Linked DNA regions of Pelodiscus sinensis. The protein of the gene in region 1 interacts with the protein of each later gene in a pairwise test. Links are inferred from orthologs where the notes say so. Each region holds a gene or a part of one and is shown in the gene's direction. Other genes may lie near its edges. The genes, in order: EHHADH, ZBTB9, TRIM41 and SSNA1.

What was found.
Region 2: the proteins of EHHADH (region 1) and ZBTB9 interact in binary tests that used the Homo sapiens proteins (3 or more experiments, as listed by UniProt). The two-hybrid records come from large-scale screens. The link is inferred for Pelodiscus sinensis from reciprocal best matches to the Homo sapiens genes EHHADH and ZBTB9.
Region 3: the proteins of EHHADH (region 1) and TRIM41 interact in binary tests that used the Homo sapiens proteins (3 or more experiments, as listed by UniProt). The two-hybrid records come from large-scale screens. The link is inferred for Pelodiscus sinensis from reciprocal best matches to the Homo sapiens genes EHHADH and TRIM41.
Region 4: the proteins of EHHADH (region 1) and SSNA1 interact in binary tests that used the Homo sapiens proteins (3 or more experiments, as listed by UniProt). The two-hybrid records come from large-scale screens. The link is inferred for Pelodiscus sinensis from reciprocal best matches to the Homo sapiens genes EHHADH and SSNA1.

What each region holds. Positions count from the first base shown.
Region 1 is NC_134720.1:3,723,137-3,730,599, forward strand, and holds the start of EHHADH (peroxisomal bifunctional enzyme), read left to right. Parts: upstream 1-4,456; 5' UTR 4,457-4,537; coding exon 4,538-4,614; intron 4,615-7,463. UniProt on the Homo sapiens protein: Peroxisomal trifunctional enzyme possessing 2-enoyl-CoA hydratase, 3-hydroxyacyl-CoA dehydrogenase, and delta 3, delta 2-enoyl-CoA isomerase activities. Catalyzes two of the four reactions of the long chain fatty acids peroxisomal beta-oxidation pathway.
Region 2 is NW_027465855.1:143,124-150,737, forward strand, and holds the start of ZBTB9 (zinc finger and BTB domain-containing protein 9), read left to right. Parts: upstream 1-4,602; coding exon 4,603-6,042; 3' UTR 6,043-7,614. UniProt on the Homo sapiens protein: May be involved in transcriptional regulation.
Region 3 is NC_134742.1:1,231,572-1,239,213, reverse strand, and holds the start of TRIM41 (E3 ubiquitin-protein ligase TRIM41), read left to right. Parts: upstream 1-4,633; 5' UTR 4,634-4,864; coding exon 4,865-5,734; intron 5,735-7,642.
Region 4 is NC_134732.1:2,394,989-2,402,931, forward strand, and holds the start of SSNA1 (microtubule nucleation factor SSNA1), read left to right. Parts: upstream 1-4,936; 5' UTR 4,937-5,007; coding exon 5,008-5,059; intron 5,060-7,943. Other genes in the region: ANAPC2 (anaphase-promoting complex subunit 2), read right to left, coding at 1,381-1,513, 2,809-3,428, 4,794-4,877. UniProt on the Homo sapiens protein: Microtubule-binding protein which stabilizes dynamic microtubules by slowing growth and shrinkage at both plus and minus ends and serves as a sensor of microtubule damage, protecting microtubules from the microtubule-severing enzyme SPAST.

The sequences.
Region 1 (7,463 bases):
ATGAAGAAAGGCTTCTTTGTCGGGGCATCGCGTCCAGACTCTCCCGATCTGCCGACAAACAGCTGATCGGCAGATCGGGGCAGCCATTTAAATTTAAATGAAGCCGCGATTATTTTAATCGCGGCTTCATTTCCCTCTTCCGATCTGGCTAATCTACATGCCTCCGTCGAAGGAGGCATGTAGTCTAGACACACCCATTGTTACATATCAGGTGAATGGGATGTCTCTCCTTGCTCTTTGCAAATGTGGTGGGGAGGAGTGGGTTGCATCTGTGATGGGTTAGATCACAGAAGTCCCCTTGAATTTGTCACCACATGTGCTGATCACACCACTGAGCCCCGCCTACCTGCTCTGTGGGGTGCCCTACCAACCTGTGCTACTGGGCCAGAAGCTCTGGTTTCCCCCAGCCAAGGCACAGAGTTGGGCTAACAGCCCCCCAGCAGAGTAACACAGATGCTGATAACAGCTCTGGGAGAGCTCAGCTATAGCGACTTGATGGCATCCAAGAGTACAGCCCTCTAAAGAGACCAAACCCCCAAATAAATCAGTTTTACTCTTTATAAAAGTTTGACACAGAGAAAGCTCAGAGTTGCTCTCTTTATCAAGGAAAGAGAGATGCAGTAGTTGCTCCTTCCACATAACAATTATCTATGCTGGGCCTGATAATAAATACAAATGTTTCATTAAGTATAAAAGGTAGGATTTAAGTGATTGCATGTGAAAACAGATCAAAGCAGATTACTAATCTCAAATAAACAAGACATGCCAGCTAAGCCTAATACACGAGGGCTGTGTCTATATTGGTGTGATCTTGTGCAAAAGCAACTGCAAAACTTGCTGCCTGTCTACACTGGCTGTGAGTTCTTGTGCAAGTACACTGATGTTCTAATGTATTAAATCAGTGCTTCTTGCACAAGAACTCTGATGCTCCCATTCAGGAATAAGCCCTCTTGCGCAACTGTTCTTGCGCAAGAGGCCAGTGTAGACAGGCAACATGAATTTCTTGTGCAAGAAAGCTCTATGGTTAAAATGGCCATCAGAGCTTTCTTGCGCAAGAGAGCATCTACACTGGCATGGATGCTCTTGCGCAAAAGCACATCTCTTGCGCAAATGCACATGCCAGTGTAGATGCTCTCTTCTGGAAGAGTTTTTGCACAAGAATTCTTCTGCAAAAGAGTTCTTGCGCAAGATCATGCCAGTGTAGACGTAGCCTAAAAAATACTGTTACAGATCATATTTCTCACCCTACTCTTTATTTCAGGAAAAATCCTTACAATCAAAGCTGATCTTTTCTCTGGCCTGAGTCTAACAGCTTCTTGTGTATCCTCTTAGGGTGGGGAGGGAGTTTCAAAAGCTAGCTGAAGACCATCATTGATTATTTCCCATCCCTTAAATAGAATTTCCCCAGGGTGAGAAACCTTTGTTCAATTCTCCCCCCTACCCCCCACACGCACACTGTGGAAAATACCAAATTCAAGATGGATTCCAGTATCAAGTGGCATGGTCACATATCTTTGTAAGACCAACCACAATTGGGGATTACAGGAAAAACAAAACCATTCACAGATGAGTACCAAGCCCAAGTTCCTTAAGTACCACTAAAGGCTTTCCCTAGAAGACCTAGATTAATAAAACAGGTTTCCACTTAATATTTCTAACTTCACATTCAAGAATGATTCCTGCCTACAAAGAGAATATACACACTCAGGGGATCACATGCATTTGAATGATATATTACTTGCCATGTTTTGCACAAAGCATATTTGAGTTCTGCATATTCATATTCAAAAACACATTTCCATAAAATATAGGAGTGGAGCATCATAGCATCTCATTGTGTTGTGTCTCTTTGTTATACATACGTGTGTGTCCGCATTTCGCTGCTGTGAGGCTTGGTGGGGAGGACCCCTGCCTCATGCACAGCACAGTGTGGTGTTATTCTATGCTGGTGGTTTCTGTATTTCTTTGCAGGGTGAAATAACCCTCGTGCTCCAAACACTTTCCAAGCAGGCTCTCAGTTGCAGCGTCCCTTTGAATGGCAGCTCTCATGACACACCACATTTGTCTGCCTTGGCCACCTCTCAGGGCTCTGTGCCAGGTGGATGGGGTGTCGCTCAATACGGGGTGGATGTAGCCTCTGTCTCTGCAACTGGAGATGGGGGTGGGGGACCAAGGAGGATGGAACTGGGACTGCTTAGCAAGGCAGCTGGGAGTGCAGAGCAGGCTGGGCCGGGCCAGAGGGGTTACCCTAGGCAGGGAGACGGGGGTGGGGCAGGCTGAGCAGAAAGGGCTGTGCCCACTGGAGTCTGGAATTGGAGGTGCTGTGAGTGGCACCAGTTCCAGATGTACCAGTAGCAATGTGAGTGTGTGTGGCAGGGTTGTACCAATTGCGCTGTGAGGGGGCGATTGTACCAGTGGCGATGTGAGGGGAGGGTGGCCAGGTGTGCGGTTTTGAACCAGACAGTCCAGTATCTGAGCTTTCTGTTTGGGAAACAGATTGAGAAAATAGAAATCGCCCCTATTTTCTAGATAAGATGTCATGTAGATTGTGACCTAATGTCAAGTGTGCCCCTATTTTAGTTGAAAACATCTGGCAACCCTAGGGGAGAGATTGCACCAGTGGCGATGTGAGGGGGGGGGATTGTACCAGTGGCGATGTGAGGGGGGGATTGTACCAGGCGCGCTGTGAGCTGGGGGGGATTATACCAGTGGGATGTGGGGGGGATAGATTGTACCAGGTGCGCTGTGAGCTGGGGAGAGATTGTACCAGTGGCGATGTGAGGGGGGGGATTGTACCAGGCGCTCTGTGAACTGGGGGGGATTATACCAGTGGGATGTGGGGGGGGATAGATTGTACCAGGTGCACTGTGAGCTGGGGAGATTGTACCAGTGGTGATGTGAAGGGAGGATGGGGATGGGATTGTACCAGTGGCGATGTGAGGGGGGGATCGTACCAGGTGCGCTGTGAGCCGGGGGGTGGGTTGTACCAGTGGCGATGTGAAGAGGGGATGGGGATGGGATTGTACCAGTGGCGATGTGAAAAGGGGGATGGGGATGGGATTGTACCAGTGGCGATGTGAAGGGGGGGATGGGGATGGGATTGTACCAGTGGCGATGTGAAGAGGGGGATGGGGATGGGATTGTACCAGTGGCGATGTGAAGGGGGGATGGGGTAGGATTGTACCAGTGGCGATGTGAGCTGGGGGATGGGGTGGGATTGTACCAGTGGCGATGTGAAGGGGGGGGATGGGGATGGGATTGTACCAGTGGTGATGTGAAGAGGGGTATGGGGATGGGATTGTACCAGTGGCGATGTGAAGGGGGATGCGGTGGGATTGTACCAGTGGCGATGTGAGCTGGGGGATGGGGTGGGATTGTACCAGTGGCGATGTGAAGGGGGGGGATGGGGATGGGATTGTACCAGTGGTGATGTGAAGAGGGGGATGGGGATGGGATTGTACCAGTGGCGATGTGAAGGGGGGATGGGGTAGGATTGTACCAGTGGCGATGTGAGCTGGGGGATGGGGATGGGATTGTACCAGTGGCGATGTGAAGGGGGATGGGGTGGGATTGTACCAGTGGCGATGTGAAGGGGGATGCGGTGGGATTGTACCAGTGGCGATGTGAGCTGGGGGATGGGGTGGGATTGTACCAGTGGCGATGTGAAGGGGGGGGATGGGGATGGGATTGTACCAGTGGTGATGTGAAGAGGGGGATGGGGATGGGATTGTACCAGTGGCGATGTGAAGGGGGGATGGGGTAGGATTGTACCAGTGGCGATGTGAGCTGGGGGATGGGGATGGGATTGTACCAGTGGCGATGTGAAGGGGGATGGGGTGGGATTGTACCAGTGGCGATGTGAAGGGGGGGATGGGGTGGGATTGTACCAGTGGCGATGTGAAGGGGGGGATGGGGATGGGATTGTACCAGTGGCGATGTGAAGGGGGGGATGGGGTGGGATTGTACCAGTGGCGATGTGAAGGGGGGGATGGGGATGGGATTGTACCAGTGGCGATGTGAAGGGGGGGATGGGGTGGGATTGTACCAGTGGCGATGTGAGGGGGGGATCGTACCAGGTGCGCTGTGAGCTGGGGTGGGATTGTACCAGTGGCGGTGGGAGCGGGGGGTAGGAAGGCTGGTTGTACCAGTGGCGGAGAGCGGGGGGGGGGGGTAGGAAGGCTGGTTGTACCAATGGCGGAGAGCGGGGGGGGGTTGGAAGGCTGGTTGTACCAGTGGCGGTGGGAGCGGGGGGTAGGAAGGCTGGTTGTACCAGTGGCGGAGAGCGGGGGGGGGGGGTAGGAAGGCTGGTTGTACCAGTGGCGGAGAGCGGGGGGGGGGGTAGGAAGGCTGGTTGTACCAATGGCGGAGAGCGGGGGGGGGGGCTGTACACTGTGGCCGGGCGTGGCGTGCGGCGGGTCTGTGTGGGGTCTGTCCCGGAACGCGGGGGGCGGGGTCACCACGGGCTGGGCGGGGCTTTGCCCGGCCGCTCGGGGAAGGCCCCGCCCCGGGCAGAGTCCGGCGCTGGCTCGCGGCGGGGATGGCGGCGCGGTGCACGCGCGGCGCCGCGGCCGTGGCGCTGATCCGCCTGAGCCACCCGCCGCTCAACACGCTGAGGTACCGCCGCGCCCCTCCCCCCGCGCGGGGACCTGTTCTTGGGGCTGTTCCGGGCCCGGCGCCCCGCGTGTCCGCGGGCGGGGCAGGCTGGGGCCCCGCTCCCCTCAGGGGCAGTTGCGCGGGTGTCCCTGGGGCGGAGCCTGCCTGCAGCACAGAGTCATTCCCACGGCTCCTTTCTCCCTCAGCATAGGGGCGCTTGTCTGTGCAACTCGGGCTCTTTGCGACAAAGGGGCTTTGCTCTTCCTCTTCGCTAAGCTTTAGGAGAGTTGGTCAGAAGATAGGAATGTCTGCAAAATACCTTACAGTTCTGGGGGGGGGGGGATTGTCCCTACTAGGATGAGAGATCAGAAACACACATTATTTTGCTGGAAACACATTCAAGGAAGATTTTATTTTGGGGGGACCACAATGGAATTTCCCTGCTGCCTGCTTCACAGCTCTTTTCACTTTTACTTCATTGAAAAGAGCGTTTCTGGCTGGCTGCCCGAGAGGCAGAGAGCTGTCATGCTCAGTCTCTGGCCCTCCTCCAACCCTGGAGCACAGGCTCTGAGCACCTTTGCTCTCTGCCTGTTCAACTCCAAGCTCCCAGGCTTTACTCCCCGTCTCCCTGCAGACCAGGGAGACGGGGAGCAGCTTTTCTTGCCCCGGAGGACGGGGGCGGCGGACCGTGGCGCATCTGGGCGTCCCGCGGCTCCTGTCCTCCGGGGCGAGAAAAGCCCCATACGTAACTGCGGATCCGACATAAGTCGGATCCGCGTAACTCGGGGACTGCCCATATTGATAAAATGGAGAGAGTGCAGAAAAGAGCTACAGAAAGGATTTGAGCACTGAGAAAATGCCTTACAGCAAGACAGAAAGAGCTTAATCTGTTTGGTTCCTCAGAAAGAAGATTAAGTGGTGACTTGATAACTGTGTACAGGTACTGTTTTAGGGAGAAAATACCAGGTAGTAAAGGGCTCTTTAATCCTGCAGAGAAAGGCAGAACAAGAAGCAGTGGCTAGAAGTTGAAACCTGACACATTCAAATGGGAGATAAGGCACACTTTTTAAATAGTGAGGATGAGATGATTAATCACTAGAACAAACTACTCTGGGAAGTGGTGGATTCTTTACCACTTGACACCTTCAAATCAAGACTGGAAGGTACGCAATAGCAAAGCACAAGTCATTGGCCTTGGCTGGGTAATAGCATGAAATATGATATATGATCTATTCTAGACAAAATTATTCTTATTTGTATTACCTTAGTGTTTAAGAACTTACGTCATCTTTGTGGTCTTCAGTTATGCATGTCTGAATTCACCCATGCACCTCATTAGGTACACAGTCATCCAAGGCATTGGTTCCAGCCCGTGAAACTCAAATAAATTAGCAAAAACATCAAGGAGACCTGTGGCACCTTAAAGACTGACAGACTTATTTGAGCATAAACTTTCATGGTAAAAACCACTTTGTCAGATGCATCTGATGAAGTGGTTTTTACCCACAAATGCTTATGCCTGAATAAATCTGTCGGTCTTTAAGGTGACACAGCACTCCTCATTGTTTTTGCTCACCTTCGATTTTTCCTTTTTCGTGGATGTTAAGTAATATGCAGAAGGAAAACCTTTCTGCTATGAGCCTCCGAAAGTCTGAGGAGCGCCCATCTTGTGAACTCTAGGCTATGTCTACACTAGCGCGATCTTGCGCCAGAGATATGCAAAGGAGGCTAAGTGTGGAATATCGCTGCACCTCATTTGCATATCTAATGAGCCATCATTTTTGCAGAAGAGGCTCTTGCGCCAGAAGGAGCGTCTACACTGCCCCTTCTTGCGCAAGAAAAACCCTCTCGAGCAATGCCACTACGCTGATTATTTTCAGGAATAACGGCATTGTGCAAGAGGGTCTTTCTTGCGCAAGAAGGGGCAGTGTAGACGCTCCTTCTGGTGCAAGAGCCTCTTCCACAAAAATGGCGGCTCATTAGATATGCAAATGAGGCTCGGTGATATTCCACGCTTAGCCTCATTTGCATATCTCTGGCGCAAAATCGTGCCAGTGTAGACATAGCCTAAGGGTATGTCTACACAGCTGGGCTAAAGTTGAAATAAGCTGTGCAGCTTGAGCTACATCAATTGCATAGCTTAAGTCAAAATAGCTTATTTTGGTTTTTGGTGCTGTCTATGCAGCAGGAAGTCTGAGAAAGAGCACTCTTCCTCCGATTTCCCTTACTCCTCTTAAAACAAGGGTTACAGGAATCAGAGTAAGAAGTCCTCAAGCTTGACATTATTTTGACGTTCTGTCGAAATAAGTGCTTGTAACGTAGATGCAAACTATGTTATTTCAGAATAATGTTGGTTATTCTGAAATAACACTGCTGTGTAGATGTACCCCAAGTGTTTGAAAGAGAAACACTTTGTGGCACTTTAAAAAAAACAAAACAAAAAAAACCCCAAGAGGCAATTGAAGGAAGTTCACACACACAAAGCTTACCTAACTTTGTTGGAATTGCTGTTTATAAAATACAGGACAGGACCATTGTGATTAAGAAAACCCTCTGCATAAAAGGAATAGGAATAGAAAGCTAAGGTCATCTTTATAAGTATTCTCTCACCTTACGGGGCATACATTTAAAGACACAAATATAAATCGCCATTAAAATAGTTAACCAGTTAAATGATTACAATTATGCAGGGTAACTGATTAACCTTTGGAGGGCTAGTGCCCTCCAGGCAGGGGCCAGCCTGCTGGCCAGCTCACCAGAAGCATGGAGCTCTTTGAGCCCCATTGGCCCACCACCGGCTGGGGGCTGGTCAGGCTGGCTCCATTGCACCTTGGCTGGGGGTGGGGTATTGGGAGAGGGACAGTTACTAG
Region 2 (7,614 bases), on another chromosome or scaffold:
ACCTCCGCCTCCCCTTGAAGGAAATGGGGACAATACCTCTTCCCCCTCCCTATTTCTCAGGAGTGGTCTCGCCCTGGCAGCCATTTTATTGCATTGTCCCTCCTTGCCTGGGGGGCAGGGAAACCCCTCCAGCCTGCCCACGGGGGCAGCTGAAGGGCTCATTTTGGTTGGTTGGCCGCATTCCTGGAGGTTTCGTCACATGACATAATCTTTAATACCCGGAGACTCCAGGACAAGCCTGGAGGGTTGGAAACTCAAGGGGCAGCAGAGACTGGTGGCAGCTGGAGGCAAAGCTCTCCCCATTTTGCTGTAGGGGGGGGCTCTGTGCCTGGCAGGAGGGATTCTCAGGGGGCGAGGGCTCATAGCTCTTTGTTCCAGTATTTCTCTCTTCCCTCCAGCATGGGATTTGGGTCAGGGTCGAAGACTTGTGGAATAGCAAGTACTAGCCCTGCCCCACCCATCACATACCATCCTCGCTCCCCACAGCCCTGCCCTGGCCGAGGGAAAGACCACCCCTTCTGTCCTTCCTGGCTAGGCTCAGGCCTAAGGTTTGCCATGGCCTCTGCCAGTCCTGCCTGGTGTCAGCATTGGGGATCTCTCCCCATCTCTCAGCTGGTCCCAGTGGTGGGATCCCACCTTCCTCTCCCACTGCTCTCTGCGCTCTCTATACTCTCATAAAGGGCTTTGCCTGCTCAGCCCCATCCCCGTGTCCTGCACCCCCCCTCTGTCTTTGGAAATGATGATTATCTAGACATTGATTGGTTTTTTTCTGGGGAGGGCAATGAGGGAGGGGCCTTTTCTTTCTTTCTTTCTTTCTTTCCTTCTCCCTGTTCTCAGACCCCCTGTCCCCCCAGGCTGGGGTTGTTGGGGGGGAAACAACCAACAAAATAATGAAGAAGCCATTTCTCTGCCCACCCGCCAGCGCGTGCAGGGCACCGGGGCGGGGGAGCGACCCCCCCCACCTGAGCACGGAGAACTGGAGGGGACTCTTGTGGCTATTCACCGTTGTGCTATGGTCTGAGCTGCTGGGTGAATGTGGTCAGCGCAGTGATTGTACTGGGTGTTTCTTTGCTGTTTGTGTCTCTATTTCAGACTCGCCATTAACCAGCCCTCCCTTGCCCCCTCCTGCACCTCAGTCCGTATTTCTTTTGTAAGGACTCTCCCTGTCCTCCCCCACCCCCAGACAGCGGCGACTCGGGTGGCGCCATGATATTTATACGTATTAATTATTATTATTATATAAAAGTTTGTACATATGTGAAATTTCCTCTACCCTTCCCTACCTCCCCTGGCCACATCGCCCCCAGGCTGGGCGCTGTAATTACCACTGGATTTGTACTGTATATAGACCTCTCTGGACCTCATTCTCTGTACATATCCCCTTGGGAAGGGAGTTCAGGTCACGAGCGCCCGCCCTGACGCTGTGTCGGACCACCTGGGCGTCTCGCTCTCCGTTTTATTTTATGTCGATTTTATTTTTTCTCATTTTTCTGGAGTGTGTGGTGCCAACGGAGAAACGTTTAATAAACAGCGATTGTTCTTTTATGCCACCTTGGCCTGAAGCCCCAGGGCATGGCCCGTGGGGGCCAGGGAGGCTCCTGCGTGGGGCCACAGGGCACCGTGTGTGGGGGTTCTGCGTGGGGCCCAGGAGGCTCCTGTGTGGGGCGCAGGGTAGTGTGTGTGGGGGTCCCACGTGGGGCCCAGGGCACAGCCCGTGGGGGCGGGAAGGCTCCTGCATGGGGCCACAGGGCACCGTGTGTGGGGGTCCCATGTGGGGCCCTGGAGGCTCCTGCGAGGGGCCACAAGACATCGTGTGTGGAGGTCCCATGTGGGGCCACAGGGCACCATGTGTGGGGGTCCTGTGTGGGGCCCTGGAGGCTTCTGTGGGGCGCAGGGCAGCGTGTGGGAGGGTTCCGCGTGGGGCCCAGGGCACGGCCCGTGGGGGCGGGGAGGCTCCTGCGTGGGGGTCCCGCGTGGGGCCCAGGGCACGGCCCGTGGGGGCGGGGAGGCTCCTGCGTGGGGGTCCCGCGTGGGGCCCAGGGCACGGCCCGTGGGGGCGGGGAGGCTCCTGCGTGGGGGTCCCGCGTGGGGCCCAGGGCACGGCCCGTGGGGGCGGGGAGGCTCCTGCGTGGGGGTCCCGCGTGGGGCCCAGGGCACGGCCCGTCGGGGCGGGGAGGCTCCTGCGTGGGGGTCCCGCGTGGGGCCCAGGGCACGGCCCGTGGGGGCGGGGAGGCTCCTGCGTGGGGGTCCCGCGTGGGGCCCAGGGCACGGCCCGTCGGGGCGGGGAGGCTCCTGCGTGGGGCCACAGGGCACCGTGTGTGGGGGTCCCGTGTGGGGCCCTGGAGGCTTCTGTGGGGCGCAGGGCAGCGTGTGGGAGGGTCCCGCGTGGGGCCCAGGGCACGGCCCGTCGGGGCGGGAAGGCTCCTGCGTGGGGCCACAGGGCACTGTGTGTGGGGGTCCCGTGTGGGGCCCTGGAGGCTTCTGTGGGGCGCAGGGCAGCGTGTGGGAGGGTTCCGCGTGGGGCCCAGGGCACGGCCCGTCGGGGCGGGGAGGCTCCTGCGTGGGGGTCCCGCGTGGGGCCCAGGGCACGGCCCGTCGGGGCGGGGAGGCTCCTGCGTGGGGGTCCCGCGTGGGGCCCAGGGCACGGCCCGTGCGGGCGGGGAGGCTCCTGCGTGGGGGTTCCGCGTGGGGCCCAGGGCACGGCCCGTGGGGGCGGGGAGGCTCCTGCGTGGGGGTCCCGCGTGGGGCCCAGGGCACGGCCCGTCGGGGCGGGGAGGCTCCTGCGTGGGGGTCCCGCGTGGGGCCCAGGGCACGGCCCGTGGGGGCGGGGAGGCTCCTGCGTGGGGGTTCCGCGTGGGGCCCAGGGCACGGCCCGTGGGGGCGGGGAGGCTCCTGCGTGGGGGTTCCGCGTGGGGCCCAGGGCACGGCCCGTGGGGGCGGGGAGGCTCCTGCGTGGGGGTCCCGCGTGGGGCGCCCGGCAAGTGGCGGGGACGCGGGGGGGCGGGGTTGGGTCGCAACGTCGCCCAGCCCTGCCAGTCAAGCACAGGACGCTCCCGTGGCCAATTGGAATGCGAAACGGAAGGGGGCGGGAAGACAGATCTGTCCACCAATCGGACGCGGGCTGCGGGGCGCTGTCCTCGGATTGGCTGACTGGAGATCAGGCGCCCCGGCTCCCAGGGGGTTGTGCTAGCCGGCGTGGGCGTGTCCCGGGGGCTGAGCGCTGGTTGGCCCGCCTGTGGGACAGGCTCGGGGCGGCGCGTGGCCACGGTCCCGCCAGCGATTGGCTACGTGCTGCAGGGCGGGGGCAGCGGTCGCTTTTGGTTGGTTGATGGCCCCCCGGTGGCGTGTCCTTCCCTGGTTGCCCGGGGGACCAGGGGCAGAGGGCGGGGTTTCCTGGGCTCCATTTCGGTCGGCCCGGGCGGAGGGGGCGGGGTTTCCCGGGGCTCGAGCTCGCTGAGCCCGGGCCGCTGGGACTCGCCCTGCTGCGCGCGGCCCGCAGGTGAGCCCTGGATCCGGCCCGCGCGCGGGGGATGGGCGGGGCGCTGTGGGGCAGGACAGGGCGGGTTGCTGGGGATGGGCGGGGCACTGGGGGGCAGGGCAGGGGGCGCTGTGGATGGGCGGGGCGCTGTGGGGCAGGGCAGGGGGCACTGGGGATGGGCGGGGGCGCTGTGGGGCAGGGCAGGGGGTGCTGGGGATGGGCGGGGCACTGGGGGACAGGGCAGGGGGCACTGGGGATGGGCGGGGCACTGGGGGACAGGGTAGGGGGCACTGGGGATGGGCGGGGCACTGGGGGACAGGGTAGGGGGCACTGGGGATGGGCGGGGTGCTGTGGGGCAGGGCGGGGGCGCTGTGGGGTAGGGGGTGCTGTGGATGGGCGGGGTGCTGTGGGGCGGGGTGCTGTGGATGGGCGGGGGCGCTGTGGGGCAGGGCAGGGGGCGCTGGGGATGGGCGGGGTGCTGTGGGGCAGGACAGGGCGGATTGCTGGGGATGGGCGGGGCGCTGCGGGGCAGGGCAGGGGGCACTGCGGGGATGGGCGAGTTGCTGGGGATGGGCGGGGCACTGGGGGACAGGGCAGGGGGCACTGGGGATGGGTGGGGGCGCTGGGGATGGGCGGGGCACTGGGGGGGCAGGGGGCACTGGGGATGGGCGGGGCACTGGGGGACAGGGCAGGGGGTACTGGGGATGGGCGGGGCGCTGTAGGGCAGGGCCGGGAAGGGGGCACTGGGGCTGGGCTGGGTGGGGGCAGAGGTGGGAGCAGTTTCCAAGAGGTGCTGCCATGGGGTAGCTGCTGTATGCTGGGGGGTACAGGTTCCTACTTCCAGGAGCCTGGGCTGTGAAGTCCCTCATTCTCCCTCTGTCCAAATCCCTGGGATCCCTGGCGGGGGTGGGAGGGCTGTAGTCCTGGGAACACAACTTCTACACCAGTCTCCCCTCCAGTGGGGCTGGCCCTGCACCTGCCTCGCTGTTGTGGGAATGGGAGTTCTCTTACCACAAGGGGTAGTGAACATTTCCCTCTCTCCCAGGGGCAGCAGCATCGCAGGGGGGGTTCCCTTTACTCCCTGTCTCTGCCATTGCAGGTGCCCGCCCTGGGCAGGCGGTGCCATGGAGCCCGAGACCCGCAGCATCCAGATCGAGTTCCCCCATTACGCGGCTGTGCTGCTGGAATCTCTCAACAAGCACCGCTTGGAGGGCAAGTTCTGCGACATTTCCATCCACGTGCAGGGCCGGGTCTTCCAGGCTCACAAGAGTGTCCTGGCCGCCTCCTCGCCCTACTTCCATGACAAGCTACTCCTCAATGACACCAACTGCATCGTGCTGCCCAGCGTCATCGAGCCTGACGCCTTCGAGAACTTACTGCAGCTCATCTACTCCGGCCGCCTCAAGCTCCTGATGGAAGCGCTGCCCAGCCACCTGCTGGTGGCTAGTGGACTGCAGATGTGGCAGGTGGTGGACCAGTGCTCGGAGATCCTGAAGGAGCTGGAGGGGGGCCCCTGCCGGCCCTGGTCCAGCAGGGCAAGTGAGAACCAGTCCCCCAGTAGCAGCAATTATTTTGCTGTGAAGGATGATGGAGAGCCGGTGGGTGGAAGCTCAGAGGGGCCTGGCCATGGCGGGGTATCGTCAGGCCGGGCAGCACCCGGCTGCCCTGACAATGAGGTGATGAAGATCCGGGTGTCCCAGGAGGAGGAAGAGGAGGAGGAGGAGGAGGAGGAGGAGCACGAGCACCAGGCCCGGATTTTTAGTGGCTCTGTGGACAAGGCAGTGAAGATTGTCCTGGAGGAAGATGGAGAGGTTGGTGGCAGAGGCGGCTCCAAAGGGCCATCTTCTGGGGAGCTGGACGGCCCCTTTCATGCCCCCCGCGATCACCCCAAGATCTTCTACATCAAACAGGAGCGCTTTGACCCAGATGAGGCTGCAGGGGCTGCGCTGGGAGGAGGCCTGAGTGCAGCCGGGGAGGCCAGCTTTCTCAAGTCATTGGCACAGGAGCGGGCATTGGCCATGGCTGAGGTGCGGGGTCTGTGCCAAGCAGACTTCCAGCCAAGCAGTGAAGTCAGCTACATAATCCCTGCTGCAACCACAGGTGCCGCCTCCTCCATCCCCACCCCTGGCTTCACCATTAAGGCCCAGCCCCTCTCCTCAGATGAGGCCAGCTTCCCCCAGAGCTCCTGGAAGCCAGTGGACCTACATGGCAACGAGATCATTGCCCACGCGGTACATGGCCAGGTGGTGCACGCACCTGTCAAAATTGTGGCAGCCCCTGATGGGAAGAAGTTTGGTTGTCTGTGCGGCAAGCGCTTTGCTGTCAAGCCCAAGCGAGACCGGCACATCATGCTGACCTTCAGCCTGCGCCCCTTCGGCTGCTCTGTCTGCAACAAGAAGTTCAAGCTGAAGCACCATCTGACAGAGCACATGAAGACCCATGATGGGAACCTGTACTCCTGCGAGGACTGTGGGCGCAAGTTCCGTGTGCAGAACTGCTTCCTCAAACACAAGGAATTGTGCAAAGGCCAGGGCTGGGCCACTGCTTGCTGGACCTACAAATAAACCTTGGATGGGGGCTGCAGGGAGGACTCCTACCACCCTTCTTGAGGCTGGTTTGAGCCCCTGAGCAGCTCAGAACCCTGCTCCATGGCCCGGTGGACACCAAAGTATGAAGGGCAGCTGGGCAGGCCAAGGGATTTGGGCTCTTGTGCTGCTCCATGGTGTGGCATTTGTTACAGACCTTGCCCTGGTGTAAGGTGGAGGAACTTGGGGCAGGAGGCAGGAGCATGGGGCTGATGGGAACCTCAAGGAAAGGGATTAAATCTGCCCTGCTGTGGGCACTTTGGGCCAGCGACAATAGGGCAGGTGAGAGAGGAGCGCTGGTGCAGCAGATTGCTTAATCGCAGACCCTGATGGCAGCAGTGGCAGGTTGGGCCTGTGAAAACCACAGTCCCGAGCTGCCCTCCTGGGAGTCTGACTTCTGGGCAATGTCCCAGCCAAGGCTGAGTCCCTCATGCCTGCTCCAGCGGCGGGTGGTGGGGGGCGACCTGCCCTTTTCTGGGAGCACTCCTCTGGAACCTGGTCTCTGACACTTTGAGGCCATGTGCCCAACCTGGGGTATTCCAACCCCCTGCCACAGGAGACTCAATAAAAGAGATCTGTGCCTCCCCCCGCCCCCAGCCTTGGACTCATCCTCTGCAGCCTCCTGCATCCCTCCCTGGCAGGACAGTGACTGGCCTTGTCAAAGTCAGGCTGGCTTTTCAACAGTGCTCTCAAAATGATTGAGAGGCACAAACCAGAGCTCACCGCTGAATCCAGTACTGTGGTGGGGGCATGGGCAGGATAGGGGAAAGCTTCAAGGAGATGATGTGGCCAGCTCAGCTGAATGGGATGGAACTAGGTCTGGAAGGGAGGCTTTTGTCTTTGTGGCTCCCACTACCTCCCTACTCTCCCTCAAACAAGGCCCAGCGTGAGCTCCCCTTTATGCTGGAGCAGCTGAGCCATTCCACTGTGCTGGGCTGCAGGTCCCAGGCCTGGGGCCCAAGATTCTGCAGTGAGCCCCAGCATCTGGCCAGCTTGGGTTGGGACCTGGCTCATCCTTTTGGGCAGTGACTGGTGGGAGGGTGCTTTGAGCTGGAGTGAATGGGTCTCTGTGCTGGCTGGAGCACAAAGCAGGGAGCAGTGTGCCATGTTCTGTAGAGCCAAAGTCCCTGAGTAGTTCACACCAAGACTCATGTGGGGGTGGGCTTGCCAGCCTCTCTGCAGTCTCCTTAGCCTGCTTTCTGGCTTCAGCAGCCTCTGCCTTTCTTGGCCCTGTCATGGGGGTATCTCTTAGTGCCTTTGTTTTATTTGACCTCTTTTTTCCTATCAGTTCCCTGCTGTAGTTCATGCCCCTTCCCACAAGGCATCATGAGCTGGGGGTGGGGGTGTGTGTGTGTGTGTGTGTGTGTGTGTGTGTGTGATGTTGAGTCAAACAGGGCAAGCCAGGCCATTGTTTATAACTATAGGCACCTCCCTATAGGCATCTGCTATTGGAGCAGCCTGGGTGGGTCAGAACATGTTTCTGATTGGCCAGTGCCAGATACTTCAGAGGGAATGAACAGAATAAACAACTTAAGGGCCATCCCCAGCCAG
Region 3 (7,642 bases), on another chromosome or scaffold:
ACCTCCCTATAAACCAAAGGGTCTTTTTTCTCTGAACCTTGTATATTCTTTTATCCTTATCTGCTTCTTTTAACTCTCTGGTCTTTAGGTGCTTATAGATTACTAGTTCTGCTTATTTGGTTTTCCCTTTGGCTACGTCTAAACTGGAAGCCTTTTTCTAAAGAGGCTTTTTTGAAGGATACTTTCAAAAAAGCCTCTTTCGAAAAAAAGCGTCTAGACTACAATCAGTGATCTGGTAGCATTTCATAGACGAACCATCCACATGTTTTGTTAGTCTATTCTATAAAGTGCTACCAGACCATTTGTGGGGGTTTTTTTTTTAGACGACCGTTGGTACTATCGAAAAAGCAAGCCGCTTTTTCGAAAGAGAGCACCCGGGCTGTCTGCATGCTCTCTTTCGAAAAAGCCCGGTTTGCATTACCTCTAGAGCCTTTTTTTCGAAAGAGCACTTTCAAAAAAGGCGTTCTTCCTCATAGAATGAGATTTTCTGCGGTCGAAAACACCGCCGGGTTCTTTCGATTGACTTTCGAAAGAACGCAGCAGCAGCCTAGACGCAGGTAAAGATTTTTCGAAAAAAGGCCACTTTTTTCGAAAAATCCCTGTACTCTAGACACATAGATATTTTCATACCTTCTGCTCCTTGTTCCTCCCCCCCCCCTTTTTTTTCCTCCTTCCCCCCTCTCGCTTCTCCCCTATTTATTTTGGGTCTGCACACCCTAAACTCAAAGCTCTGGTCATCTGAAGAAGAGGGCTGTGCCCAGGATAGCTCATGATCCCATCTCCATGTTACGTTAGTCTATAAAGTGCTACCAGACCTTTTGGTGTTTTTGAAGTTTGTCTTGTATCCAATGTTAGGCTGAAGTCAGCCCTGGAGCAAATCTAGCCAAGTTGTGAGAGCCATTGTGTCAAGCATATGTATTATGAATGATTATTGTTGTTCATTAATACTGACTGTCATGTTACAATTGCAATTACTATTAATCAATATCATGCTGGAAACAAATGATTGTAAATCCAATTAAGAATAATAAACTGCTAAACTTTTGCTAGGTCCTGGTGTTTGAAATGTACATCCTGGCATGTCTGAGAAAAGCACAGGAAAAAAAAGAATTAACACCAACAACATTCCTCCCTTTTTTGCCCCCATGGTGCTGGGTAGGAAAACCACATGGACTCACTTTCGCTGCTGGACTTTTGGCTTGTGATTCAAATGCTCCATCAGTTCTTGGCCTGTCTCCAGACCAATCCCCTTTAAAAATCAGCCCAGTTCCCTGAGTTGCTGAGGAAATGCAGCTGGTCTGGGTTTAGCAGACAGGCAGACAGACCAGCTCAGAACTTGGCTTTGGAGTGGGGGGGGGGGGGGAACATGAGCCCCCCCTTGACTTAGCTGCCTTTACAAGACCAGCCAGACCCTGGAAACAGACACAACTTTACAGCCAGGGAGGAAAAAAGAGTTTAAAATAAAAAACTTGGGGTAAAAATTTTCAGCCGCCCAACGTGGGGCTCGAACCCACGACCCTGAGATTAAGAGTCTCATGCTCTACCGACTGAGCTAGCCGGGCTGTTGATGCAATTTCACCTAAAATAGGCCTGTCTCCTTTTCCAGTCTGGGCTTTGCCAAATGTCCAGCCCTATATTGTACTGACCCCAGACTTGCTTCCTATCCAGCAACTTCCATCCCCGGGGGAAAAGTCTGGCCTGGGATCTGTAGGAAACCCCTTGTTCCTCACCTCTGTCTCCCCAGGGGGATACCACCAGCGCCTGGGCTAAGAGTGGCCGGTTAAAATCAGCCCCCCTCTTTCCTCCCCCTCTCCGCCGGCTGCCTCCCAGAGAGGTTGTCGAAACTGCTTCAAAATGGGCCCTTCCGTTTTCCCCCCATTGGCGCGTGGAATAAATTTTGTGCGGTGCACCGAGGCCGGTGGCGATGTGCACCACCAGCAGACCGCGGGCGCTCTGCTCATCCGTTGGGCGGCATTTGGAGCTCTCCAGGGTGGCCATGTGTCCGGTTTTGGCCCCCGACAGTCCAGTATTTGCAACTTCTGTCCAGTAAAACAAACAGAAAATACCGGACATGTAAAATGTCGGGTATTTTCTGTTTTTCGGGGACGGAAGGCCGCTTGGGACAGTCTTCCCCTCCGCCTCTGGTGGGCATGGGGAAAGCAAGATGATATAAAGGCGCCGTAACTCTTTTGTGAGGTTGTTGTTAGGCTGTTTTTATTTCTCAACAACTTTGGTCCTCGTGGCCTTTTTTGGGGGGGGGGGTTTTTTGCTCACCCAATGTTTTTCCCGCAAACGTACCTGGGCCGAGGGCTCAGCGTCCAGGGAAGGCCGGCTGGCGAGGGCTCCCAGCAGTGAGGGAACCACCTGGGATGGAAGGAATACGTCCGCCCCCGTGAAAAGGGGTTAAACACGGCCCCTCGTGCCCTGGCTTTTTATGGATCTCAGCCTCCAGTGCCTCCAAGGATCCCACATGGTTCATTCAGCATGGCTGGACCTCAGAGTTGTTTCGGGGAGTTTTTTCCGGACACCTCCAAGTTAGGCCTTGCGGGGCGGCCCTCCCGGGACAGCCCTGCCTGCACCAGGCCTTCGACTACAGGAACCGAGGGGCCTCGCGAGCAGAGGACTGGAGAGCCTCGTGCTAGAAATTGGGGTGGGCCCCGCCGCACTTAAAAACGCCTCGCTCCCGCGGCGAGCCACAAAAGCGCCGCCGTGCGCTCTTACCGTGCCGTGGGCCGGCTGTTCCCTCGCGGTCGCACGCTGCTCCGGGAAATCCACGGCTCCGGGCGGGTGGGACGGGCGCGTCCGGGGACACTAGGCGGGGCGGGGCGCTAGGCGTGTCGTGGGGACAGGCTTCCCGGGCACCGCGCCGAGCAGCCGGTGGTCAAACTCGGGGCCGGTCCCCGGAAGATCTCTGTGCACCCCTAACGGGAGCACTCTTACCTACCCACCGCTGCTTCCCCCAGGGGGTCTCCTCCCGGCTCGCCACCCCCGGCTCCAGGCAGGCTCCACAAATGCCTCTTCAGCAGGGCCCCCTCCCTTCCGCAATTTTTTTTCTTTCGGTGTGGAATAAATTTTGTGCAGTGCACCAAGGCGCATGCCAATGTGCACCACCCCCGAGGCACTGCTGGCTGGGGGGGGCTCCAGCTCTCTCCTGGGTGGCCACTCCCCCCCCACACACCCTCCCTCCGCAACGTGCCCCCCCTCAGCACCTCCCACCCCACTGGGGGCGGGGCTTAGGGCGGCCCCGCCCCCACAAACGTAGGCCCCGCCCCTTTGGAATTTATGGGTGAGAAAGAGGCCAGAGCCAGAGCGCCCCCCCCCCAGCGTCTTCTACCCCACCGGGGGCGGGGCTTAGAGGCGGCCCCGCCCCCTTCAGCGTCATCGGCCCCGCCCCCTTGGAACTTAGGGGCGAGAAGGAGGCGGAGCCAGAGCGCGTCCCCCCCTCCTCAGCACCTCCCACCCCACTGGGGGCGGAGCTTAGGAGCGGTCCCGCCCCCTCCAGAAGTAGGCCCCGCCCCCTGGAACTCCAGGGGCGAGAGGGAGGCCGGGCGTGTGACGTCACACGGGGAGGCGGGGCGGATCCGAGCCGGAGCGCCGCGCGCAGAACCTCCCAACGGGCGGGGGGGAAAGAATGGAGCGTGGGGCCGGCAGTTCCGGTCACATGACGCGCTGTCCTCATCCTTCCCCCCCCCCTCCCTGCCGGAGAGCGGCGGAACGCGCGCCGGGGGGGGGGGGAGCCACTTCCGGTCACATGCCCCGCCGCGCGCCCGTGGCGGAGCGGTAAAAAGGTCCCGCCGCCACTTCCGGCGGAAACGGAAATAAGGCTCCCGCTGCCTCTTCTTATCCCCCCCTTCCCCCGCTTGCCTTGACAGCCACCATAGAGCGCGCGGGTAGAGCGTCCTCGGGCAGCCGGGCAGGGCCCCTAGTGGGGGAGGGGCTGAGGGGTCGGGGGACCCCCAGGAGGAAGCAGGGGGGCTGAGGACCCCCAGGAGGAAGTAGGGGGGCTGAGGACCCCCAGGAGAAAGCAGGGGGGCTGAGGACCCCCAGGAGGAAGCAGGGGGGCTGAGGACCCCCAGGAGGAAGCAGGAAGGTCGGGGGACCCCCAGGAGGAAGCAGGGGGGCTGAGGACCCCCAGGAGGAAGTAGGGGGGCTGAGGACCCCCAGGAGAAAGCAGGGGGGCTGAGGACCCCCAGAAGGAAGCAGGGGGGCTGAGGACCCCCAGGAGGAAGCAGGAAGGTCGGGGGACCCCCAGGAGGAAGCAGGGGGGCTGAGGACCCCCAGGAGGAAGCAGGAAGGTCGGGGGACCCCCAGGAGGAAGCAGGGGGGCTGAGGACCCCCAGGAGGAAGTAGGAGGGTCGGGGGACCCCCAGGGGGAAGCAGGAGGGTCGAGGGACCCCCAGGAGAAAGCAGGGGGGCTGAGGACCCCCAGGAGAAAGCAGGGGGGCTGAGGACCCCCAGAAGGAAGCAGGGGGGCTGAGGACCCCCAGGAGGAAGCAGGAAGGTCGGGGGACCCCCAGGAGGAAGCAGGGGGGCTGAGGACCCCCAGGAGGAAGCAGGAAGGTCGGGGGACCCCCAGGAGAAAGCAGGGGGGCTGAGGACCCCCAGGAGGAAGTAGGAGGGTTGGGGGACCCCCAGGGGGAAGCAGGAGGGTCGAGGGACCCCCAGGAGAAAGCAGGGGGGCTGAGGACCCCCAGGAGGAAGCAGGAAGGTCGGGGGACCCCCAGGAGGAAGCAGGGGGGCTGAGGACCCCCAGGAGGAAGCAGGAGGGTCGGGGGACCCCCAGGAGGAAGCAGGGGGGCTGAGGACCCCCGGGTGAAGTGGGGGGCTGAGGCTCTCAGGGGGAAGCTGAGGGCGGGGGGGGCCCATGGCGGCGGTGGCCGGGGAAGGCGGCCCCGGGGGGATGCCGTGCGGGCAGCCCAGCGCGGTGGAGACGCTGCAGGAGGAGGCCGTCTGCGCCATCTGCCTGGACTACTTCACCGACCCCGTCTCCATCGGCTGCGGCCACAACTTCTGCCGCGTCTGCATCACCCAGCTCTGGGGGGGCGAGGAGGCGGGCGAGGGCCGGGCCGGCTACGCGGCCGAGGCGGCGGGGCTGGGCGGCGCGGAGGACGAGCTGGACGACCAGGCCGATTACAACGATGAGGAGGAGGAGGAGGAGGAGGAAGGGGCCGAGGACGAGGATGACATGTGGAGCGAGGAGGACGAGGAAGCCGACTTCTGGGACGACCCGGGGGAGGACGACATGTGGGAGGACGAGGCGGGCGACGAGCTGTACTTCGAGGAGGACGACTACGCCGAGGAGGTGATGGAGGAGGAGGAGGACCTGGAGGAGGAGGAGGAGGAGGAGGAGCTGCTGACGCCCACGCCCCCGGCCGCCGTGGCGCCCCGGCCTCGACCGCTCCCCCCCTTCACCTGCCCCCAGTGCCGCAAGACCTTCTCCCAGAGGAACTTCCGGCCCAACCTCCAGCTGGCCAACATGGTGCACATCATCCGACAGATGCACCCGCTCCCGCAGCGGCTCGCGTCCCCGGCTGCTGTGGGGACCTCAGCGAGGCCCGAGGGGGCCGCGGCGCCGGGGGCGCTGGAGAGACGAGCCCTGTGCGAGAAACACCAAGAGCCCCTCAAGCTCTTCTGCGAGGTGGACGAGCAGGCCATCTGCGTGGTGTGCCGGGAGTCCCGGAGCCACAAGCACCACAGCGTGGTGCCGCTGGAGGAGGTGGTGCAGGATTACAAGGTACGCCGGTGGGGAAGGGTCGCCGGAGTCCGCTGGGCCGGGCGCGGCTGTAGAAGTGCAGCCGGTTAACCGAGAAGCGGATGCGAACACGTCCGTGCTATCGGCTACACGCGTTATGATGTAATGGCGTAGTCGATTAACCCGTAACCGAAGCGTATCGGTTAATGCTGCAGACGACGTGCGTTCCTCCCTCTTTCCCCCGGCCGGTACACTTTTAGCAGGCTGGCCAGCAGCCCGGCTCAGTCCTGGCTTGGGACAGGTCTGGGACCTGCCCCCTCTGCGGCTCAGACAGGCAGTCGGTCCACGAGAGCAGCTGGGTCTGAGACCAGCTCCCGCCTGGCACCCCCGCTGCTGCCTCTGATACAGCGGCAGCAGCGCGGAGTGTGGGGGGCTCCTCGGGCGTCTGCCGGCCCTGCCCACGGGGACTATCGAATGGTTAAGTAACTGAGAAGAATTCATGAGGCTGCTCGACTATTCAGTGAACCGATATGTAACCTGCCTAACGCGCATCCCTTCCGCCAGGACGTACGTTGGCAGGCTGCCTTGCGCTGGGTCCCGGGAGCTACCGCTCTCCTGGGACCCCGCGCATGCTGGGACTGAGGACTTGTGGCGGAGGTGACAAACCTTTTGTCGACTTCACGACTGACGAGTTACACGCTTTTTAACGTCCCTGGTGGGGTGTCTGGGAGCCGTTGGCGTGCCCGGGGGAGGCGCCGGGGCCCCAGTGGGTCCGGTAAGGCCAGCGCGTGGCTGGAGGTACCGCGTTGGCTCCGGGAGGCCAAGGGGGGTTCGTTGGCTGGCGGGTGACAACGTGGAGGGTCGGCTGGGACAGATGGTGGAGCTATGGGAGTGGAGTAGAAGGTTTTGCTGCTCTTCCGAGATACAGCACAGCGCAGACTCGATGCGGACCTAAGAGTCAGGGCAGGCAGCCTTCGACCTCTTGGGGGGCAGGGGTACACAGGCCCCTGAACCCCCCCGGACTCGACTCAGTCTGTTCGAGACAGCCCCTCTCTCCGCCACTGCTCACCCACTCCCCCCAAGTAGCCACACCCCTTCCTTTGATCAAACTCCTTCCCCGTGCCGGGTGAGCAATGGCTAGGCCCACCGAGGCATTTATGTGCGCCCGCTGAACTATCTGGGCCAGCCCCGCCCCCTGGCGCGCAGCAGCCCCCAAAGGTTGGGGACCACTGAGCTAGGCCATGGCCTTCGTGCCTGCCCTCAGGGACCACCCCCCGCTGGGCGGTGCACACGGACACACACACAGTCTCTGCAGAGCAGCACGGGGCGGTAGGGGTCACCCACAGCCCGACCCAGCAATCCGTGAATGCCCAGCCAGAGTGGACATCACAGCGTGTCCAGAGCCAGCGCTGCTGGGCACAGAGGGTCCCCTGAGCGCACATCCAGGCATTAGACCCGGGGACAGCCGGCAGCAAACCTGAGACAGGCAGGAAGACGCCAGGCCCCGAGCATCGCAGAAGGCTTTAGAGGGACGCCGCCGGCTTACGGCTCTGTTGCCCGGCGTCACGAGGGTGAGCCGGCCTTCTCCGTGCTCATTCCGGGGCACCTCCACGGAGGGATCGAAATTCTGGATCCGTGCTGGGCTCTCTGGGGGGCTGTGTGTCCAGCGCCCAGCACGGCAGCACCCCGGTCCGTGGCTGGTGCCTCCAAGGAGAACTCCCCTCGTAGCTCGAATCACAAATTCCGATCAGCGTGGCCCTGAAAATCAGGGCCCGGAGGGCGGGGTAAAATTTCCCCCTCGAAGGTTGGCAGGAGCCAGGCCGAATAGTCCTGTAACTAGAGGCGACTGGGAGCGGCGAGCGCGTGTATTTTATTTCTCTCGCCAGCTTTTCCTGTGTGCGTGGCCGGCGCCTGACGCCAGGCAGGGAGGGATCTCAAAGCGCCTGCGTG
Region 4 (7,943 bases), on another chromosome or scaffold:
AATGCAGACCGGGGGGGGGGGGGGGAGAGGGGGGAGGAACCAAGAATGCAGACCGGGGGGGGAGAGGGGGGAGGAACCAAGAATGAAGGGGGGGGGGGGGAGAGCAGTGACTGATAAGGATTGAGGGAGGCACAGTAGACAAGCAACTGAACATGAACTCCCAGCACAATCCTGGGGCAAAGAGAGTTAGTGTGACCCTGAGATGTGGAAGCACAGGAGGTGCGAGCAGGGCAACGATTCTACCTCCCGCACAGCACTGGCGAGGCCAATATTAGAAGAGCACATCCAGTTCTGGGGCCCACATTTTTAAAGAGCTGCTGAACAGCTGGAGAGGATGGAGAAGAACCACAACAATGATTGCAGGGCTGGAGAACACGCCTGGTGGTGGGAGACTTGAGAGCACAATCTGTTGAATTTACCAAAGATGCCAGGTGACGTTGTACCGTTTGGGGGAGAAAATGGCAGCTATGAACGGTCTCTCTAAAGCAGAAAAAGGCAGAACAAGAACCAGTGGTGGGAAGCTCCAGCCAGACTGTGACGGCGCGTTGGGGGTTCCCCGTCTCCTGCACCCCGAAATGGCACAAACAGACTGCACCAGCCAGTGGAATTGAGGGTGGTTTATTGCTCCTCCAGCACAGCGCAGCACAGATGTAATCTGGTTACAGGAACTGGGCTAGGATGCCTCAGGCCCCCTTGAGATGGGGGAGACTGGGCCCCTAAACTCCAGCCCCTTCCCCTAGGCTCTCCTCCATGCCCTCCGACAGCCAGCAACCAACTCACTAACTTCCAGCCCTGCCCCCCAGCCAAGGCAGCATTCCACCTTCCTTTGTTCCTCTCCATGGGGGGTGTCTGGCCACTGGTTTGCATAGTGACTCATCCTGTTTTGCTGGGTCGTGGTCCCCACGACAGCCAGTGGGGGTTACCCCAGAGCCAGCAGCATAGAAACCAGCCAGGTACCCCCACTACGTCACACAGACAAATTCAAATCAGATGCTAAGCTAAATTTTTTTAATAAGGTGATTTACCATTGGCACAACCAACCAAGGCAAGTGGTGAAGTCTTCATCTCTTGAGGTCTTCAGATCAAGACTGGCTGCTTTTCTAGAAATCCTTCAGCCATACACCAATTATTGGGCTCAGTACATAGATTCATCGAGTCAAAAGACCAAGGGCAATTATCTACTGTGACCTCCAGCATAACACAGGCCATAGGACTTCCCTGTATTAATGCTGTAATTAACACAAGGGAAACAGTGAAATGGGGGAGGAGGGGCGCCTAGCGGGCCAGGTTGGGACTTTTCCAAACAGGAGTTTCATTTTGATATCATCCCTTCCACAGGGAAGTGCTGTGTCCCCCCTCCGAGCCTGCTGTAGGCCTTACCTCCTGGAACTCAGTCAGGAAAGAGCGCTCATACTCGCCCCTGCATCTGCGCTCCATCCTCTCCTCTAGCATCCTGTGCAGGATGGTGGTGACAGCATCGGCGCTCACTCTCTCCAGCAAGTTCAGCCTGTGGCTGCAGACAAACACCGGCCTCATTTAGAGCACACAGAAAGGGAAGCATGAAACTAAGTGTGAAGTAACCGGAGACGGGGCCTGTACCGCACATGGGCTAGCAGGGGTCACATTAGGTACTGGCTTCCTTCTCCACAGAGCCAGTAGCCCAGACAAACATCGTTACAACTCTGCCAGATGTCAACCCGGTACTTCGGTGAGCCAATACCCCGGTGAGCTGTCTAAATCTCTAGCTGGACAACAGTGCCACAGACTTATGGGGATGGGGTTTGCTCAGTAAGCAGGGTGGTTATTCGGAAAGGGATTTTATCCACTAGGAGAGGAAAAAAAACAGAAAACAGGGCAACTGCAGCCAAATGTTAACATCTGACACGAATGGAAAGCAAATGCGACAATAGAACACTCTCGGATTCTAAACAACAGACTACAGGATCGCGTGATATAGCCCAAGTCATATCAAATATCAAACTTCCAACGTAAAAAAACCTTCCAAACCAGGTTGCAAGGTGAAACTGCTGAACTGGAATTTATATGCAAATTTCATACCATCAGCATACCATAATCTCTCATTACAATCAGTAGTGTGGAGGCAGGAAAAGGGAGTAAGGGAGTTTGTGTGCAGCCATCTTGGTCTTGTTAGCAAGAGTCTGGGCAGAGGATCGGTGGGTAGGAGGGGTGCAGGCTCTTGGAGGGAGTTTGGATGCGGGAGGGGTTCAGGGTGCATGCTCTGGGAGGGAATGTGGATGAGGCCCGGATGCAGGCTCTGGCCTGGGGTGGGGGAGGAAGCCGCAGGAGGAGGCAGGCTCTGGGAGGCAGTTTGGAGCTTGGGGGCAGCACCAGGGTAAAGGGTGCCATGTTTACCTGGGAGGCACCACCCTCTGGCAGCAGCTCCTAGTGCACGGTGCTGCTCCCACTGCTCTTCCCGCCCCACCTGCCACTCACATGCCTTCCGCCCTGCGCATCCTTTGGTTCCTCCTGCTGCCCCTAGGTGAATTAACACACCCTGGAAGCCCCCATCAGCAGTGCAGCGGGGCTAGAGAGGCTTCCTGCCGCTCACTCTGCGTGGCTGCCAGCACCTCCGAGGGGCCTGGGAGGGTGGGGGGAGAAGAGTGGGTCTCTGTGCGCTGCTTGCAGTGGGGGCCCCCCCAAGGCATTTAAAATCACCCAGGGACAGCAGGCGGGGCTGGGGGGCAAGCATAGGGTGGCGGAACTCAGGGAGACCTGAGCCAGCAAACGCGAGGGGGAGGGGGGGAGCGCAGGCCCCTACAACTCGCCACCTTGCTGTAAGATACGCACAGGATTTCACTGAGCTGCTGGAACTGCTCCATGGCTGTGGGACACCAGCACTGCTCTCTCTTACTGCTGCAGCCCAGGCACTGCCGGCCGTCTCCTCCGTCCTCCGGATCGCTCTCTGGCTCGTTCTCACTCATGCTGCTCTCGCACGCCTTCACTCCGCCTTCACCCTTCTTCCCCTGGCGCATGTAAATCTTGAAGGTGCGGCTGTAGAACTGCTGGATCATCTCCTGGAACGTCTCGGTGGTGGTGAAGAAAAGGATGGCTTTGAACATGGTGTAGACTTTCTCTCGCAGCACCTGGGAGCCTGTTCCAAGGAGCAAGCCCATTCTGGTCCATTTTTCCAGAAGGTCCAAGCTGTTCAGATAAGGGTCGAGGCGGCACTTGAGCAGACAAAAGGCATCCAGGAGAAGCAAGGAGCACTGTGGCTCTTCCGCCGTGTTTTCATACTGGCCAATACAATTCCAGAATTCAGGAGCTATATTGGCCTGCAAGTCTGTCTGTAAAACTTCAGTGAACCATTCTTCCAGGACAGAGTGCAAGTCATAGCGCTGCAGCACTTCCACGGCCGCCTGCAAGTCACTGTCCTTCAGCAGCCCTGCTGAACCTGATCTGGGGCCTGCCTAAAGAGACACACCAAGTTAAACACAAGCCTGGGCACCTACAAATCACTGAGGCTGGGCTTTGCAAATCCACCTCAAAGAACAGCCAGCAGGCTATGGATGGAGCATGTCCCCCACTGGTATTTGGGTCACGTTTCAGGCGGCTGTAGGTTACCAACCACCTGCTGTTGGTGGAGAGGGTGGGGTCTCAATCCTGCTGATAGGAAGGTGTTCACATCATGAGCACCCACACCGTGACTGGCATCAACTGCTCCCCTTGCTGACAGCGGCCATGGGAGCTGTCAGGTGAGCAGCCTATTTATTGAAGAGCTCAAAGCCACAATGCCAGCCATTCAGTGCACAGAAGTTTCCATAATTTGCTCCCTCTAAACCAGCGAAAATACAGTGGCTCGGAACAGGCAGATTCAATTTGGAAACAATATGCATTTTCCTAGAAAATGTTAAGTGAATGAGCTTCCAAATTAGAACATTCTAAGAATAGGGGTGGCCCTGAATCCCTGCGGGGATCCCAAGGCTCCTCTCTTGCGACCATCTTTGACTTGGCAAGAACAAAAGCTAAGGCAATTCCCACACACCAGGGTGAGAATGCACTTAAAGGTGCGGGCAGACATCCATTCCTCTGGTTTGCGACCTTGCAAGAGCAATTGGATAGAAACAACATTGAGACCCCCAGGAAGTTCAGCCTTAAGTCTGCACTCAGAAGAGGTGCAAAGGCACCACCTTAAATCTGCTGCCCAAGTGATGCCCTAACAAAACTAGAAAATCGAGCTGCCTTATCTGCAACCAACACCCTCTCCGGGGCCCACCCGAACTGAACTGTCCTACGCACTTAGGGGTTCTCAGGACAAAAACGGGGCGGGGGGGTTGGGGGAAATGGCTGGGATCCGGGGTGGGGGGCACGGCTAGGCCTGTCTGCAGGGTGGGGGGCTGTCTGGGGCTGATTAGGAGGCCTGGAGGGAGGCTCCATCTGGGGGGGGGCTAAGGGGGCCTGCATGGGGGGGGCTGTGTGGGAGGAGGGGCTGCATGGGGGGGCCGTTTGGGGGGGCTGCATGGGGGGGCCGTGTGGGAGGAGGGGCTGCATAGGGGGTCCGTCAGGGGGAGAGACGGGGGTCTACATGGGGGGGCCGTGTGGGGAGGTCATCGGGGGGGAGACAGGGGGGTCCGAGGGGGGCTGCATGGGGGGTCCGTCGGGGGGGGAGACAGGGGTCTACATGGGGGAGCCGTCTGGGCGGGTATACATGGGGGGGGCCGTTTTGGGGGGCTGCATGGGGGGGGCCGTTTTGGGGGGGGCCGTCGGGGGGCGAGACGGGGGGGTCTACATGGGGGGTCCGAGGGGGGGCCTGCGGGGGGGCCGCTCTCACTCACCAGCCCCAGCGCGGCGGGCGGCACCAGGCCGGTGCTCAGCGCGTGCCAGGCCGCCGACAGCTCCGGGCCCGGCCCCGCCGCCATCCGGCCCGCGCGCCAGGGGCACGTGAGGCGGGGGCGGGGCGAGCGGGCGGGGGCGGAGCCGGGCGAGGGGCGGGGCGAGCGGGGCGGTTGGGGCGGGGCGGGGCGCGCGCCGGGCCGGGTTCGGGCCGCCATGACTCAGCAGGGGGCGGCGCTGCAGAGCTACAACAACGAGCTGGTCAAGTGTGAGCGGGGGGGGACCCGCGGGGGGGAGGGTGCGGGGGGGGCCGGCGGCCAGCCCCCCCCCCCAGCCCCGTGCGCTGCTCCCCGCCCTCTGTGCGCTGCGCCCCCCATGCACCCTGGCCCCCCCCGTCTGTTCTGTGCGCCGCCCCCATGCACCCCGCGCCCCCGTCTGCTCTGTGCGCCGCCCTCATGCACCCTGCCCCCCCGTGCGCCGCCCTCATGCACCCTGCCCCCCCGTGCGCTGCCCTCATGCACCCTGCCCCCCCGTGCGCCGCCCCCATGCACCCCCCGTCTGCTCTGTGCGCTGCCCCCATGCACCCTGCCCCCCCGTGCGCTGCCCTCATGCACCCTGCCCCCCCGTGCGCCGCCCCCATGCACCCCCCGTCTGCTCTGTGCGCCGCCCCCATGCAACCTGCCCCCCCGTGCGCCGCCCCCATGCACCCCCCGTCTGCTCTGTGCGCTGCCCTCCATGCACCCTGCCCCCCCGTGCGCCGCCCCCATGCACCCCGCGCCCCCCGTCTGCTCTGTGCGCCGCCCCCATGCACCCCGCGCCCCCCGTCTGCTCTGTGCGCCGCCCCCATGCACCCCGCGCCCCCCGTCTGCTCTGTGCGCCGCCCCCATGCACCCTGCCCCCCCGTGCGCCGCCCCCATGCACCCCCCGTCTGCTCTGTGCGCTGCCCTCCATGCACCCTGCCCCCCCGTGCGCCGCCCCCATGCACCCCGCGCCCCCCGTCTGCTCTGTGCGCTGCCCCCATGCACCCTGCCCCCCCGTGCGCCGCCCCCCTGCACCCTGCCCCCCCCGTGCGCCGCCCCCCATGCACCCCGCGCCCCCCGTCTGCTCTGTGCGCCGCCCCCATGCACCCCGCGCCCCCCGTCTGCTCTGTGCGCCGCCCCATGCACCCTGCCCCCCCGTGCGCCGCCCCCATGCACCCCGCGTCTGCTCTGTGCGCTGCCCCCATGCACCCTGCCCCCCCGTGCGCTGCCCTCATGCACCCTGCCCCCCCGTGCGCCGCCCCCATGCACCCCCCGTCTGCTCTGTGCGCCGCCCTCATGCACCCTGCCCCCCCGTGCGCCGCCCCCATGCACCCCCCGTCTGCTCTGTGCGCTGCCCCCATGCACCCTGCCCCCCCGTGCGCTGCCCTCATGCACCCTGCCCCCCCGTGCGCCGCCCCCATGCACCCCCCGTCTGCTCTGTGCGCTGCCCCCATGCACCCTGCCCCCCCGTGCGCTGCCCTCATGCACCCTGCCCCCCAGTGCGCCGCCCCCATGCACCCCCCGTCTGCTCTGTGCGCCGCCCCCATGCACCCTGCCCCCCCGTGCGCCGCCCCCATGCACCCCCCGTCTGCTCTGTGCGCCGCCCCCATGCACCCCCCGTCTGCTCTGTGCGCCGCCCCCATGCAACCTGCCCCCCCGTGCGCCGCCCCCATGCACCCCCCGTCTGCTCTGTGCGCTGCCCTCCATGCACCCTGCCCCCCCGTGCGCCGCCCCCATGCACCCCGCGCCCCCCGTCTGCTCTGTGCGCCGCCCCCATGCACCCCGCGCCCCCCGTCTGCTCTGTGCGCCGCCCCCATGCACCCCGCGCCCCCCGTCTGCTCTGTGCGCCGCCCCCATGCACCCTGCCCCCCCGTGCGCCGCCCCCATGCACCCCCCGTCTGCTCTGTGCGCTGCCCTCCATGCACCCTGCCCCCCCGTGCGCCGCCCCCATGCACCCCGCGCCCCCCGTCTGCTCTGTGCGCTGCCCCCATGCACCCTGCCCCCCCGTGCGCCGCCCCCCTGCACCCTGCCCCCCCCGTGCGCCGCCCCCCATGCACCCCGCGCCCCCCGTCTGCTCTGTGCGCCGCCCCCATGCACCCCGCGCCCCCCGTCTGCTCTGTGCGCCGCCCCATGCACCCTGCCCCCCCGTGCGCCGCCCCCATGCACCCCGCGTCTGCTCTGTGCGCTGCCCTCCATGCACCCTGCCCCCCCGTGCGCCGCCCCCATGCACCCCGCGCCCCCCGTCTGCTCTGTGCGCTGCCCCCATGCACCCTGCCCCCCCAGTGCGCCGCCCCCCATGCACCCCGCGCCCCCCGTCTGCTCTGTGCGCCGCCCCCATGCACCCTGCCCCCCCGTGCGCCGCCCCCATGCACCCCCCGTCTGCTCTGTGCGCCGCCCCCATGCACCCTGCCCCCCCGTGCGCCGCCCCCATGCACCCCCCGTCTGCTCTGTGCGCTGCCCTCCATGCACCCTGCCCCCCCGTGCGCCGCCCCCATGCACCCCGCGCCCCCCGTCTGCTCTGTGGGCTGCCCCCATGCACCCTGCCCCCCCGTGCGCCGCCCCCATGCACCCCGCGCCCCCCGTCTGCTCTGTGCGCTGCCCCCATGCACCCTGCCCCCCCGTGCGCCGCCCCCATGCACCCCCCGTCTGCTCTGTGCGCTGCCCTCCATGCACCCTGCCCCCCCGTGCGCCGCCCCCATGCACCCCGCGCCCCCCGTCTGCTCTGTGCGCTGCCCCCATGCACCCTGCCCCCCCGTGCGCCGCCCCCATGCACCCTGCCCCCCCGTCTGCTCTGTACGCTGCCCCCCATGCACCCTGCCCCCCCGTGCGCTGCCCCCCATGCACCCTACCCCCCGTCTGCTCTGTGCGCTGCCCCCATGCACCCTACCCCCCCGTGCGCTGCCCCCCATGCACCCTGCCCCCCATCTGCTCTGTGCGCTGCCCCCCATGCACCCCGCGCCTGCTCTGTGCGCTGCCCCCCATGCACCTGCCCCCCGTGCGCTGCCCCCCATGCACCCTACCCCCCCGTGCGCTGCCCCCATGCACCCCGCGCCTCCCGCCTGCTCTGTGCGCTGCCCCCCATGCACCTGCCCCCCGTGCGCTGTCCCCCATGCACCCTGCACCCCCCATGCG